2 linked regions of the Lytechinus pictus genome follow. The protein of the gene in region 1 interacts with the protein of each later gene in a pairwise test. Links are inferred from orthologs where the notes say so. Each region holds a gene or a part of one and is shown on either strand. Other genes may lie near its edges. The genes, in order: serine/threonine-protein kinase 4-like and small ribosomal subunit protein uS10-like.

Region 1 (8,137 bases):
TTTCCTAACTAGAATACCTTGATATCGATACTATCGGTAGAAAGAGCAGACGAGACGTAGCCTTAGTCACAAAATAGCATAATATTCAAAAAGAAAAATTATGACAAAATTGCAAATATTGTGATAAATTGGGAAATAAATCTTTTCAAAATAATAGCACAGGTGAATTATGCATCATACATACTTAGACCATGAAGACTTGAGCATTCAATTGCAGAGAAAATTAAATTATGAATAATTCCTTTCATGACTAAAAAATCACTTGTGGACGTTGAGATTGGGTACCCCCGGGATATCCAATTTTAATAGTTTACGAAAGTAAACCATAACGGTTTTCTTTGTAAAATGATGATAATTATGCGGTCTTTTACGATTCCGAACGTCATCAAAATACAGTTCAACGAAACATTTTTAACCATTGATACCGAAACATACGATATTTGACAAATTATATGCATAAATTAGAGATAGAATTTATCCAACTGTTAATAGGGGTCTGAAAACACCAAATACGAGTTCAGTTATGGATGGCCTGACGTGGTAGAATATTTATCGATTAAATCATTTTACTATTTCAAAATGAATGGTTTTGTGGCGTTTTACCAATAGTTTTTATAGTTTCTTTGTATTATAATTATCATTGATTGCATTAACATAGTGCTGCAAGTCAGGCGCCATGTTCGGGTTCGGCAAGGTTCGGCAGAAATTTGCCGAACATTGGTTCGGTTCGGGGTTCGGTAATGATAGACTGATATAAAGCTATAGTTCATTCAGGTATACGTAGCGTACCGGTAGACAATTTGTACTTGATTGACTGCATGTGCTCGCGTGTACCTCTGTCACATCAAACCATTTTATCTCTATCTTGTTGACATGAAACTATGAAAGTTATAGCGCTCAACGAATTGTTATCTCGAATTTGATTATCTGATGACAGATTTATTGGGTAACTCACAGTTCTAAAATGGCGACTCTTCCTAGTCGTCCATACCTGGACCACACTTTGGATACTTGCCAAATTAACTACGCTCGTACTCGTACCAGCTAGCTAGGCCAGAATGTGCAGTCCCCTTGTAGCGGGACTCTGAGCTCATGAATATTTATATATACAGTCCGGCCAAACGTGATTGGCAATTGCATCACATACGAGGCGGCCAGCGCCAGTGCACTGAACTGTAGGCATAGTAGGGCCAGGGGCGTGTCGAAGAAAGCGTGCTTATGTAATGCGCCTTTCGCTAATTGGCTCGATGGGTGAACTAAACCACCAATCGCATGTCGCTGATTGTCGCATCGGTACATACAGCCCAGTCAGTCCGCAAGCCCCTGTGTTAATGAGCAAATGAGCAAGATTTATCCAAGTCCTCTCGTGGCTGAATTCATGTCCCTGCAAAATCTCGTGAATTGTGAGACTTTCTTTTTCAAGGAATTTAACCACTTTTTCCTTGAGTAATATTGATTATTTTTGTACCATGGGCAAGAGTAAATGTTACCCTTTTATATTGGTCATTTCTTTTGAATGAAATATTTTGATAAATAAGTGAATTTTTTACCTGAAAAGATGCATCAAACAGAATTTTCTTCCTCTGTTTTCACTTGCAAATTGTGCAACATTTTGTGTTTTAGGCACCAACATTATTTATATCGTCAGAAAGCTCAAACTCTATACTTTCTTACAATGTCACTCTTGATATGTGGCATCTTTTAGATGGGTCAGCAGCCAGTTATTTCCATCAAGATGCAAGACGAGATTTCTGAAATTTCTGAGTAACATAAAATCCAGAGTTCTGATTGGCTGAATACTGTTTTCAAAACAAACAGGCGCGGGTAATTTGAAGAGATTACCACATGGTGAGTGTGACCTTGCAGAGGCCCAGTGTGGGGAACATTGGAATTTGCGTGGGTGTGTGGTCTGTATGACCAATCAGAGCGCAGTATTCTTGTTTTTGAGCTGCAAAATGTACTTGGCCTATGAAAAGCTGGCTGCTGACCCATCTAAAATACATCTTCTTATAAAAATTATATCATATTAAAGCTTAGATCTTCAGCTTTATCATGATTTAAAAATCATTTGTGCCCAAACAGAAATTAAGTGTGAAAACAACTACTTTTGTTGCATGAAAAAAAATATTTTGTTTCATGTTTTAGATCAAAAGTTTTTCCTATATTACAACATTCTTTTAAAAATCCAAACACATGACCTAAAAGAATGATTCTTCTTCTTTACAAAGATACCAAAAACATGAAATTTGGTCAATATTTAGAGCAGCAATGGCCGAATAAAAAGAGGTGTTTTGGTTCGCACCAAGCTCATTAACTATGCAAAAACCCTCTTGTCATGAATATCACTTGGATAAAAGAAGCTACTTTTTCAGGGCTTGCGGACTGACAGAGCCACGTGCTTTGTCTGCTCGCGAAACTCAGCTCACTGATTGAAGAGCAATTCCCGAGATTTCTATGATTTCATTGGTCAGATTTCATTCGACCATGAACATACAGACCAAGTGGGATGCAAAGTTTTACGACTGTAATGGGACAGGGGGAGTAGAGTGATCATCGAATTGTTTATGGTTAATTTGAGAAGTTGATAAGAAAGGGAAAAAAAGTAAAGATTGGGGGTCATTTTCCCCCAAGAGATGAATGTTTCCGCATGGCTTTATCTTCATTCAACTTGTCAACGAGGGGAAGGGGATCTTGCTATATGCTATACCGTAATCATTCATGAGTGTTTGATTTTTATTTTCATCTGATTGTTAATAATAAAAAAGATAACTTCTCATTTCTATATTATTTGTTTTGCGTCTCTCCTTAACAGTCACTCACTTTATTTCCCACTTTCACTGGATCTCTCGTTTTCAAAACTCTTTACTTCTCCCTAAAATCATGAAAACTAGACAGTAGCGAGCCGACACCTCAATAATAATGTCAATCACCTCAATCAGATCTTTATTCTCCGCCGCAACAATACACGAGTTACGATCTTAATCACATCGTATCGTAATTCGTAATATTAATGGTACTTCATCTTTCACTTTCAGTTTATTGAGCTCGTTCATTCAAAATACTTTGAAGATTTTCAAACAAGAATCTTGTTCGCCACCTAAAAACAACAATATTTTAGATAATTAGATTTAACCAATTAACACTCATACAGTTTTGGTTTTCTTTACCATGCTTCGGCGATTCGGCCACAGAGCGAGAGATGATGAAAGCCAGTAAAATGATTATAGCGCAAGCTCGCGCAACGTCATTCATCGGATCTCCTTTCTTAATCAGGGCCGTAAAAACCACAATGTCAACATGAAAATGAAAACAAAGTCTAGTAACCGCAAAATGAGCGCATACTTCCAACATACAATTGCAAAGAAGATTAAATAGAGAATGCGCAAATATAATGATTAGAAAGGGTGTAAACTTATAAGTTTATTAGCTGAAAGCCGTTTTTTTTTTTTTTGCCGAACTTCCGAACCAAGTCTTAGTGTTCGGTTCGGTTCTGTTCGGTTCGGAAGTGCCATGTTCGGCGAACTACCGTTCGGTTCGGCTACAGCACTACATTAACCCACTTGTTTTGTGATGTAATTTCAACCTCTATGATTGATTACGTAAGATTATAATTTTAAAATTTCTATGCGCTTTTGCATGTCATAGTCTACCCACGTGATGCCACTACGTCATTAAGAAAGAAGTTATGACAATGACATGTTCGGAGCTGTCATAAATATTTAGTGAGGTTGTTGTACCCGATCTTGGTAAAGAGGGCTTCATGAAACGGTTAGCGGACAAGTAGCTCACTATCTCCGATTTAGTCAAGAAGTTAGACTTATGACGGTGTTGAGAAACGGGCCCCAGGTATTTAGTTATATTACTCATTAAATACGAGTTGTGTGCAGGTCTGTTCCTTTTTCTTTTATCAGAGGGTGAAAATGGACATGTTATTTGGCCAGGAGGCTCCTAGAGAGTAAAAATCATTTACTAACGTATGCTTAATCTCAACAGAGCCAGGGATTTCTTCCCATTCATCTGCACGTACCGCCAAAAAACCTGAAACTTTCGCCCCCAAGATTTCTACTTTCCTTCTAAAAGATCTAGCCCTAAATCATGTAGATGGGATACAACTTCATTTCCGACATTTCTACGATATTGATTTCATTTTTAACTAAGAATTCATTAAAAAAGCGAGAAAAATGCTTGGCGACAGCACGCAAATCGCGCAATTTATAAAGAACGTGTAGCTGTCTACCGCAACAAGGCTTGTCCCAGGAGTTGGGCCAAATTCGTGAGAAAATTGCCGAAATATCATTATCAACAAAAGAACTGGTGAGTACCGATTCAACATTATTAATTTGTTGAATATTTATAGTCTAGCCAGGCCCATCTATAAAGATTATCACAAATTTTTTGTGATATTCATGCTTAGGTCTCGGCTAGGGCGGCCCAAATTGAGTGGAGTCCCACTTATTCAACATAAAAGTAGGCGTCTAGCCTAGTGTTCCTTCCTTCGATTTATTTCTTTCCTTCCTTCCTTCTTTCTTTCTTTCATGACTTTGGTTTCTTTTTCTTTCTTCCTTCCTTCCTTCTTTCTTTCTTCATTAGTTCATTCCTTCCTTTCTTTCTTTCTTATTCTGATTCTTTCTTTCCTTCCTTCCTTCTTTCTTTCATGACTTTAGTTTCTTTCTTTCTTCATTCTTTCCTTTCTTCTTTCTTTCATGAATTAAGTTTCTTTTTCTTTTATTCATTCCTTTCCTTCTTCCTTCCTTTCTTTTTCTCTTTCTTAGAATTTGACACAACACAGATTATTAGCGAGTGGGACTACACAGACAAACATGAACGACTTTATTAAAGCGATTTTTTAGGCCTACCTTGTACCAGTGCCAACAATGTATGTATTGGTGCCTCGAAGAGTCATAGGTCCAGGGTTACATCCTAAAACTCGAATGATTCGAGCTGAAAGTCGTTCGATATTTGGAATTACGGTACTCATTTTGCCGCAGAAACTGAGATCTTTCTCTGTTCCTCTTGCGCTCTCTCTCCAGTTTCACGCATTTTCTCGGTGTAAAAATCTCGTTTTACAAAATACAACCACATTACTAGTGTAGGCGCCATACAGTAGAGATATCTGCGAAGATTTCCGGTTTGTTTTGTCTTGACTTGATTAAGCTGATAATCATACTGTTCTTTACATTGCAATCGCCGTTGATTACCAATCGATGTGAATTTGTCATGTTTTTCAGATCTGTCTCTGGACCACGGCAAAGATGACTTCAACAAGGTAAAATGATATTTATTGGAGCAAGGATCGGGTAATATGTGTGACGTGTTTTGTAGAAATGAACAAGATTTCATATACCGGTAGGTACCACACACAGATTTGTATATGTGGGCACAGGTTTCAAAAGTGGATTCGGCCTAGCTTAGAAACAACAACCACAACGACTAGATCTAGTCCACTCTTTTTAATTCTCACCAATAAATCATAAAATGTAATATCTTCAAATGAGAGAAAACATATTTAAATTAACAAAACAGCCATATTTGTTCGGTTAGACAACACTCAGTTGACGACATCGCGACATGGTTGATAATTGATTTTTATAAACGAATAGGGCCTATTCGTTTAGCGATTGATAATTGAAGCCATTTTTAAATTATTATTTTGATTGTTCATCATGTTCATGTATTTCAAGACTTTTATTTTAATTTTGTTTTCAATTTGCCTTAGAAAATGTTACGATACTTTGTATGAAAACTTTATAATATATGTAACTTGCATGTTTGTAAAATTGATTACAATTCTGCCTTTGGCTGCGATGATCTTTTATTAATAAACTATTTTATCGATCCTATCTATCTATAACAGTATCATTATCTCATGTCAAAAATCCTTCTCTCTTGTGTAGTATGTTGAAGAGACTAAGTGAAGATGCACTCACTAAGGAGCCTGAAGAGGTGTTTGATCTCCTAGAGAAATTGGGAGAAGGGTGAGTAAAGTGTCTTACTTTGGATCCTAGGGCCGATTGCCCAAAAGGGTCTTTGCAAGAATTGCCTCTCGCGTCGCCCATTTATTATGCGCCATGTGAAACGCATTTTAAATAAAATACCTGCAAACATATTTTATTTGTCGTTTAACAAAATCTTTCTTTATAAAATGATGTGATATCTCTTGAAATTGTATTAAAAAATGATTTAAAAGCTAGCTGAATTTTTTTTATTTGTTTATCTTAAATTTCAGGAACATCCTGCATATAGCTTATCATAAAAGATGGGTGACACGAAAGACAGTCCTTGGAAAGACCCTTTTGTGCAATCGGCCCCCATCTACTTCTAACAACGTGTTACAATTTAATTAAGCTTTATAAATGGAGCATTGCAAGAAAATGTTGAATAGAAAATTGTTTGATTAAAATGTTAAAGTAACAAAATATTAATGCTATTGATTTATTATTTTGAAATAAGACATATGTTTAACTACAACTTAATCGATGACTTGAATATGAAAAGCCAATGATGAGTTGTGTTCAAACATTTTTTATTGAACCAGAGATGAGTTTGGAGTAATAATCTTATTACCAATAAATATTGTCATTACAGAAACTACTGTTGGGTCTCTATTACTGGAAATAATGTCACTCTTTATATGATGAAACCCTACCAAAAAAAAACTCATCGACTTTATTTTTGTCATTTTATACTTGTTATATGTGTTGTGTAACTGTGGCAAACACGTTTCTCTATTAAAGCTAAGGCCCCAACCTAGTATAACACTCCTAAGGTCACTCTTCCCTTGTCTCCTATGATGTTCCAGTTGAAATCAAATCTCAAAAGGTCTCCTAAAATAAACAAATATAAATGAAGGAGGAAACACACAAAGTAACACAGATCTTTACAATTGATATCAATGACATCGTTGGCTGTACTTCAAAATCTCACCTGTGCCAATGCAACCAAATCATTGATTAATTCAATCAATTAGATGTAAGGAAATCATTGTGGTCAACCAAATACACTCTAACTGCTATTGATCAAGAACCAATGGAAGCATGGAAGGATGGTCATAACTCATGAGATAGTTCTGCATATTAATAAGTACTATACAATGTTAACATAAAAACTATACAATGGATAAACTAGGAAGCATGACCAAGGGGACATTGAATGAGAGAATGGAATGCAGTGAACCTGGTGAAATTCTGTTGCTATGTCAGGGATATAATGTATGTGGATCGTATTGATTCGATGAAGGATGAGGTCATTATATGGAATATTAATTAACAAATTAGATGTAAACATTGAAGTCTGGAAAGCAAAATGTTAAGGCAGGTAGTGAATAAATCCAGAAAATTTGACTTGCACTAGATGCCTATGAAAATGGCACCAAGGCTTGTGAATAGGGGATCAGCAACCATTTTCGTCACATGTAGATGACCTTCAATTCATTTTTAGGCCCCCAAAATAGATAATGATCAATAATCACTTCAGCAATTCGTTGCATATTGAAAAGTCGTAAAATAAGTTATTTTCTAATGTTTTTTTTTTCCTTTCCCAGTTCCTATGGAAGTGTATACAAGGCAATGCACAAGGAGTCTGGTCAGGTCTTGGCCATCAAGCAAGTACCGGTAGATACAGACCTACAAGAAATCATCAAAGAAATCTCAATCATGCAGCAATGTGACAGCACTTACGTTGTCAAGTACTATGGAAGCTACTTCAAGAACACAGACCTCTGGGTATTTATACAAAATTTCATCACATTTTATTCTTCTTTTTTTTCTACATTGTCTCAGACTTATAGACCCATATTCTGAACTTGGGTTTGATTTAAACACTGGACTGGTCTAAAGTTGTGGTTTGATTATTGAGAGCCATTTATGTCACATAAACCTTTTAATAAAGGAATGGTCCGGGCTGAAAATATATCTAAATAAATAGAGTAAAGTTCAAAGAGCAAAATGCTGAAAATTTTATCAAAATCGGATAATAAATAATGAAGATATTGAATTTTAAAGTTTATCAATATTTTGTGAAAACAGTTATATGCACATCATCATGAATATTCATTAGGGGGGCTGTTGATGTCACATCTTCACTTTCCTTTTTCATATGTTATTACATGAAATCATAAATGTTTCATTTTTCATACATG
Region 2 (7,824 bases), on another chromosome or scaffold:
TTATATATTAAGTTCGGATAAACCAGGGAGGTGGGAGTTGCACAACAGCCAAAGTAAGTCACTGTTTTTTTTTTCCTTTTAAGTTTTTTTTTTCCCATTTTGGTGCATTTCAGGCCGAAATGGAATAATAATCTGTATTTTGGTCCAGTTCTATTGACTCTAGGCCTAGACTGCACTGGACTCTATTACATTTTTATGATAAAAAATATGAAATAAAAACAAAAATCGATGAGCCCCGTTGGCCGTCGGGGGGGATCTTGCATTGTTAATGGCGGCTGCACGATCGCGAGCCCTCTGTGTACAAGGAGAAATAAAAAAAAATCTTAAATTGTTTTTTTTTTAAACTCAAAACAGACGGCGGCTAGGCTGCCAGCTGTCTGACTAATAACGTTAGTAGTAGTACTAATAACTGAGTAGTACTTCACTGTTCACAGTGACAGTGTCATGTCCATGTCAATAGACAATAGTCGAATTTGAATGACATGTTTGACTTTGATGAAAGAAACTCAATTTTTTATCTCTCCCTTTGGCTTTGGCTTTTTAGGCTCCAACCGTTGACTAACTCGAGCGAAGTTCGTGCAGGCTCCACTCCACTTCACTACCGGTACACTACACTCCACCTACCCAAACTTCGAGACGGTGAAACAGTTCGGATATACCGAGTCACAAAGGTGGGATGGAAATCATGTGTATCGTAAAAAAAAAAAATTAAAGAAAAAAATATAACGAGAAAGATGAATAACTTAATACCTTACTCTACACCCGTATTTCACTCCGTTTCCATCCTCCGGTTATCCTCAAAATTGGTGATTTGGGTCCAGTATCTTTTTCCTCACACGTATTATTCACGGCCGATTTCAAAACATCGCACGCGATCGCGATCCGTCGGTTTGACCTGCGACCGATCGCGATCGCATGCGATGTTTTGGAATCAGCCGTGAATAAATACCTGTGAGGAATAAGACACTGGCCCAAAATCACCAATTTTGAGGATAACCGGAGGATGGAAACGGAGACGGAGTGAAATACGGGTGTAACTTTTTTAGAGTAATCAGTAAGTTAAGACAGTACTAAATCTATTACTATTAGGCCTAGGCCCCCTATTTATTAAGTTATTCATCTTTCTCGTTATATTTTTTTTCCTTTAATTTTTTTTTACGATAAACATGATTTCCATCCCACCTTTGTGACTCGGTAACCGTTGACATGATTGGCTTTTGCCAACGTGAGTAAAACATATCTGTCGATTGTCAACCAAGACTATTGAAAAGACACAGCTTCACGAACACGTCACTAACTTTATTTCTACCGCAGTCCAGCGCAGTGCAGTGACGGATCGAGTGAGTACGGTACACACGGCCTGACCGCGGCGCGGCGCCGATAATGTGTGACATGGTCTCAATCCTCATGGAATATTTAAAAATCATGGTTTAAATTACTTAAAATTACTTTTCTTACCGTTTATTTCGGTTTTCTCAACTTGCAATTTAATGGCGAAAACTGGACTAAGCTGGACCTGTCCTCGGTTCACAGCACTTGTCTTATCACTTATAAAAATTAAAATCGAGATGTACTCCCGACAACTGAGACTGAGTTACGTTACCGAGTACCGGCAGAAACGGTGAATGAGCCAAGGCTTCCGATCCGGGCAGTTCTAGCTAGCTAGCTCCCCCGAAGTTTCGGCACAAGATCGCGTTCGAATTTGGGTCGTATATGTCGCTGAGTGTTTGCATACGTGGAAGGCCTACGGATATAGACGATTCAAAACGTGCCTACACATGCCTAACTCACCCTTACTAAACTCGACACTCGCTCGTGACTGTGTCGACTCGATGATACTGTTAAGTCCCACCAGGCCAGCCCAAATGACCCGCCCACAAAAAACAAAACTTATGAGAAAAAAAAATAAATGAGCTTATAATCCAATGAAACAATGAAATTTTTCAATATAGGCATGTTGCAAAAGCTACTAACAATAGGCCTATTCATAGTCAGCAGCAGACCGAGTGGGGGGGGGGCAAATAGGATCCGCGGCACCGCTATAGCAAAAAGTTTGTTGTGAAAAGAGCGAAAATTTCATGAGAAAATCCTTTTAAGATTAAAAAAGTTCTCATAGGCCTAATTGTTAATAACTTTATAATTTTAAGTCTTGATTACCTAAAGAAACTGGTCACAAAACAAAATAAAATAGTTCATTGTAATAGCTGGAGCACTAGCTAGCCCGAAGATCAAAAGTTAACACACAATACTCATACAGGGTGCAGCTGCTCACTTTGAAATATTCAACTTACTATATACACAGAAAAAACGCTGTTTAAATTTTTTATACAACGCTGTTTACTATATGAACCTTACAGTAATTGTTTAAACAGTTTAAACAAGTGTTTAAATCTTAAACAACAAAGTTTAATTTTCAATATCTAATCTTCAATAAATTAAACATGATTGTTTAAACTGTTAAACAACTACTGTAAGGTTCATGGATATAGTAAACAGCGTTGTATAAAATCTTAAACAGCGTTTTTACTGTGTAGGCCTACAATAGGCCCACCAGAAATGTATTTTTATTAGTGTATCATTCGGCTTATGTCTGTCCATTTTGTTCAGTTGTAAGTCAGATTTATAAAACTCGGGCTCCTCTTTAATACAGTTTGCCGATAAGACACATGCAGGACTTGTTCTCATAGGCCCTATAAGTTCGTTTTAGAAGTGTATTGGCGGTAGAAATGCAGGGGCCGCGGCGGGGCCACGGAACGGTTTTCAAATTAAGCGTGGGGGGGGGGGGGCTGACAATGCAAAAAAATCACAATCATATGGTCGGCATTTTTGTACACGGTTTTGGAAAAAGTGTGTGGGGTTGAAGCCCCCCCCCCCACACACACACACACACATTAGAACGGATAAAAAAAATAAGACAAATCCAACACTAAACATTTGATCGGGACAATGAATAACGAAATTATATACCAGTAAACAGTAATTTGTTCTAAACAATTATTTACGAATAAATTTGATGAGCAAACTATATGACGTTTATATCCCCACTTGTTTTTTTTTGTACTTTATTACATGAAATTAGTGTTGATTCAAAATTAGTCCTCCAAAATGCCAAAATTAAAAAACTTAATAAAAAAGGATTGTACTAGTATATGAAACATTCAGTTCATCGCTGCAACTTATTTTATCATACTGGGGACTTAGTGATAAATGATTGTATGAAAATATGAAATCATTATGATTTCAAACTATACATAAGAAAAAGGAAAGCGGATGTGACATCATTGGCCGACCTATAATGAATATTCATGACGACGTGCATATAACTGTTTTCACAATATATTGCTACACTTTTAAAATAATTTTTTTTTTAATTATTATTTATTATCAGATTTTTCCTTTGTTGTGTATACTTTGTCTGGAACTTTTTTGTTTGTTTGTTTTTCCCATTCCCTTATTAAGTATTATGTTTTTATTGTTGAATTGAATAGAATTGATTTTTTATTTGTAACGCCGTCAAAAGTCCCCATATTTCATATTGTTCCAAAAGGAGCTAGATCCACTTTTGAGGTTTTTCTGTAAATCAAGTTTTTTTTAATTCACCACTTTCCCTTAGCCACTGCTGTTACTATCATCTTAGATTGATTAAATCATGATTTCAAAAAATAAATTGTTAATTATCAATTTTTTAAGAATTTTTGAAATCTTATATTTCACGGATATAGCTTCTTAATTTGGAACAAAAACTTTGTAAAATGTTAATTTTTGCCAATTTAAACATGTTTGATATTGGAAATTGAACATGAAACACATAAATATGGCTAACAAAGTACATTCCACATCTTTTTCTGATGTTTATCCACTGAAAATTACAACAACAACAAAATGTTATTCTGTCATCTAATTCTACTAGGAAGGTGACTTTTCGATATCTAATTCCAAAAGGAGTCAAGTCCAAAAATATTCATAAAAATTGTTATTTTTTCATCAAATTTGCACTGATGGTGTGGACTTGTATCGACAACATGCACCTAAGAAATTGAATGTATTATAGGAAAAATAACAAATTGTAAATAACCGTATAGGCCCTAGTGGATTAGGCTCCTTTCGGATTAACAAAGCTGTTTTGGATTTAGCTCCTTTTGGAACAAAACCCAAATTCGCAATAAATTTTTACCAGGCCTTTCCACTTTTTTGTTGTTGTTAAATACCAATCGTGTTCATGATTTCCAATAGTGCTTACTGCTTAGAATGTCAAACTTTTAGTTTAAAATATCACATTTTTTCAGCTCGCGCTCGCATCATTCGTATATACTAAGGCCTCGAATGCATAAATGTCTGCATCGGTACAGGGGTACGAATATAGATTGACTGAGTTACCTGCTGGTTGTTAAGACGGGTAATGAATTGAATATTTTAGGCTTTTACAATAAAAGTTTTTTTTAAGTATATTAAAGGAAAATTGTCTTTTTAATGTATCCTTTAAATAATTAATATATATAATTTACAAAATAAATAGGTTTTTTTAAATTAAAAAGTCTTTTTTAAATGTAATATGAGTCTTTGTTTAACCTCCGAATAAATAAACGTAATGATTTAGCCGAATATTGTTTCCACTGCTGAGTTTATTTATCAAAACGAGTGACACCCATTCACATAGCGTAGCAACCGCGACCACACACAGTTTTTCTCGTTCGTGTGAACAATGTGCCCACTGAATGATGCTCACATGTTAACTCATGTACTGCACTCTCTTTAGCTCGGCGCTCGTTGACTGAACACCGACATAAAGTGGCTAGCTCACCTCTGTTCAATTCCTGTCAAATTCAGAATTGATTAAGTCTGCTAGCATACATAAAAACATGGTATGAACATTGTAGAAATGATAGGAAACTAAGAATAATTCATAGAATACAGGAAAATTAGATATTTTATTGTTAAAATTTGTTGACGTGCGTGCCGCGCCGTGTGCGACGTCGTCGACCGTCGTGAGCGAGTTTCATGTCATGTAACCCAGCCAGGCAGGCGCAGGGAGCTCCGGCCCGCTTGCCAGGAGTCGACCGTGCAAAACGATGCATGGAGACAATGGGGTAGATTGGGGTCTCAATAGTAATCTTAATAAAATGTGGAAACAGAAATTATGCACTTACCACGATTAGCCTATATGGATGAAGGTCTATCGTGACACTCAAATCCTGACATCGAGGCACAGACTGAGTGGAACCTCAGGCTCAGTCAAAAAAACGAAAACTTGTTCTGTCGTGATGATACCTCTCGGCTCTCTTTCTTTCAAAATTAAAAACAAAATGGCCGATCGAGAACGAGGCTATATATTTTTTTTTATAGGTTCCAGTCTGTGCCTCGATGTCGGGATTTGTGTGTGACGATAGACCATCCATATAATTGTTAGTGCGCCATAATTTCTGTTTCCACATTTTATTAAGAATAAGATTATTAATACTAGGCCTATATCAAGACCAAGCCTAGGGCCAGTCCCATGTCTCCTCGTTTTGCATGGTCGACTCCTGCCTGGGCTCGCGGGCCGGAGCTCCCTGGGCCGGGTTAATGATCATGATGATGAGCAGATGAGTGTGTCAATGTCCCCACTGTGTGATGGAATTGATCATGTTCAGGTGTTTGGCACACACATGTCTCGATGTCTGTGCTGTGTGAGTTTGACTTTGAGATCAAAATGAGGAATTTACACTTTTGTTTTAGTAGCAGCCGGGGAGGGGGGGGGGGGGCATTTCCATCGTTTGACGAGTGGATACCATGTTCATGCTATTAATGTTAAACACGTAAAAAGGATCTTTTTTTAAGATGGTGCATGTAAAGTACGTAATAATCAGTAGAGTCTAGAGGTGCATGGGCAATATGGGAGACAATGCGATCTCCCAGTCCCGTATTGGAGACTTGCTTTGCAAAAAACACCAACAAAACTCAAAAGTGTAATTTTTTCCACCAAAAATTTTGTCATTGAGGTGAAAAGCCCATTTGTTTGTGTGTGGATGACAAAAAAATCCTTGGCAAAAACAAAAGTAGACGGTGAATTTTTAAAGTAGACTGTAAAGGGGTAATTTTTCATGAGGAATCTGCTTATCACATTTTTATTTTCCGCCAAGCTAATTCTTTTGCAGCAAATGTAAACAAAGGAAATTGGTCTCCCAAACTGGAGACTCTGAAATTGGATACCCTAATTTTTTACAAAAGTCTTTGATATTGGAGATAATCTCATGGGAGACAGCCTCACATATTTTTTATTATTGGCCATGCACCTCTACTGATGGGTGTCAAAAATACTAAAATGAAAAAAGGGTAAATCTAGATCTAGGAAAACTATTTGTTTCTGTTTGCGGTCCAATTTGCAAGAATAGTGAAAGACTTGGACCACTCCTTTTTTACTTTTTGCCCCAACACTACGTATTTAGGGTCCGATTTGAGAGAGGTGTGTGGGGTGGTACTAAACCAAATTAAAGTAAAGGTAAAGCCGACGTCCATGATCATGTCCATGACATGACATGCATTAGTACAATAAAATATTGTACTTGTTAAGGTGGTCAATTCAGGGAATATTTGTCAATGGTAACGTTTTCTTTCCAATACCGGTACTTGTTAAAGAGTAGGGTTACCCACGCCAATAATTGTTGAGGGGTGCATTTTCAGAACATGGAAAATACTTTAGGATGCTTTTTCGAAACCCCATGGTCACGCATGGTATCCTCTTGTCAATGGAAATCCCCCCCCCCCCCCCCGGATAACACCAGAGTAGAGCTGAATACATGGCCATATGCAGATTTTTTTTTGGGGGGGGTGGCAAGACTCCTAAAATTTTCGAAGACAACGAAACTAAAGTCTCGAAAGTGAGGGAGCGAAGCGACCAATCTTCTTGTTGGGGCGCTTTTGCATTTTCGAAAGTGAAATTAAAGGATTTTGTGCAGATCTACGTTAATTAGTTATGGTGAAATTTATGAAAATTTTTAGTAAAAAAATTTAGGGCCTAGACTAGTTCTAGGTTTCCAATATTTTTGAGGGGCAACTGCCCCCCCCCCCCCTGCTATGCATGGCCTGGCTGAATGTTCAAGCATTGTGTGCAATGTGGTATCAGACTATCAGTCACCATTTGAGATAACGTTTGTGATGGACTCACACTGGCAGACTTGTGTGTCTAAACTTCATATAGAAACACATAAAAGAGGACACGAAGCAGTTCGGAATTTTTTTTTTTTTGGAGGGGGGGGGGGGGTATGTAGTTGACCATGCAGAAATCACAATCCGATGGAAATTTTTACAGTTTTTCCACAGCCCCGTATCTAACTTATGTAGTTTTGGGAACATTTTTTTCTTGGGGGTTGGGTGTGGTTTAATTTAAGGAAATATATATATGCAATATACTGAAGTAAAATGATCACAATCAACTCTTGCCACAGGCTTACAGCAAGGATCCAATGAAGGGACCCGTTGAGGATGTCCCAGCCCATCGTATCCGCATCACCCTTACCAGCCGCAACGTCAAGAGCCTGGAGAAGGTGTGCGCCGATCTCAAGCGTGGTGCCCAGGACAAGAACCTGAAGGTGAAAGGACCCGTCCGTATGCCCACCAAGACCCTCCGCATCACCACCAGGAAGACGCCCTGTGGAGAAGGGTCCAAGACCTGGGATCGCTACCAGATGCGCATCCACAAGCGTCTCATCGACCTGGAGAGCCCCTCGGAGATCGTCAAGCAGATTGTATCCTTTCCCACATACCTCTTTCATATGTCCTTATTAGGGTTTTGGTTTAGGAAGGGGCAAAGGCCGGTTTTTTTTTGGGGGGGGGATGGTCACAGAA

The links.
Region 2: the proteins of serine/threonine-protein kinase 4-like (region 1) and small ribosomal subunit protein uS10-like interact in a two-hybrid assay, tested with the Drosophila melanogaster proteins (2 studies listed by BioGRID). The link is inferred for Lytechinus pictus from reciprocal best matches to the Drosophila melanogaster genes hpo and RpS20.

The regions. Positions count from the first base shown.
Region 1 is NC_087245.1:34,385,858-34,393,994, forward strand, and holds the start of serine/threonine-protein kinase 4-like, read left to right. Parts: upstream 1-5,100; 5' UTR 5,101-5,252; coding exon 5,253-5,266; intron 5,267-5,894; coding exon 5,895-5,975; intron 5,976-7,540; coding exon 7,541-7,721; intron 7,722-8,137. UniProt on the Drosophila melanogaster protein: Plays a key role in the Hippo/SWH (Sav/Wts/Hpo) signaling pathway, a signaling pathway that plays a pivotal role in organ size control and tumor suppression by restricting proliferation and promoting apoptosis.
Region 2 is NC_087261.1:19,003,921-19,011,744, reverse strand, and holds the start of small ribosomal subunit protein uS10-like, read left to right. Parts: upstream 1-4,647; 5' UTR 4,648-4,859; coding exon 4,860-4,862; intron 4,863-7,424; coding exon 7,425-7,724; intron 7,725-7,824.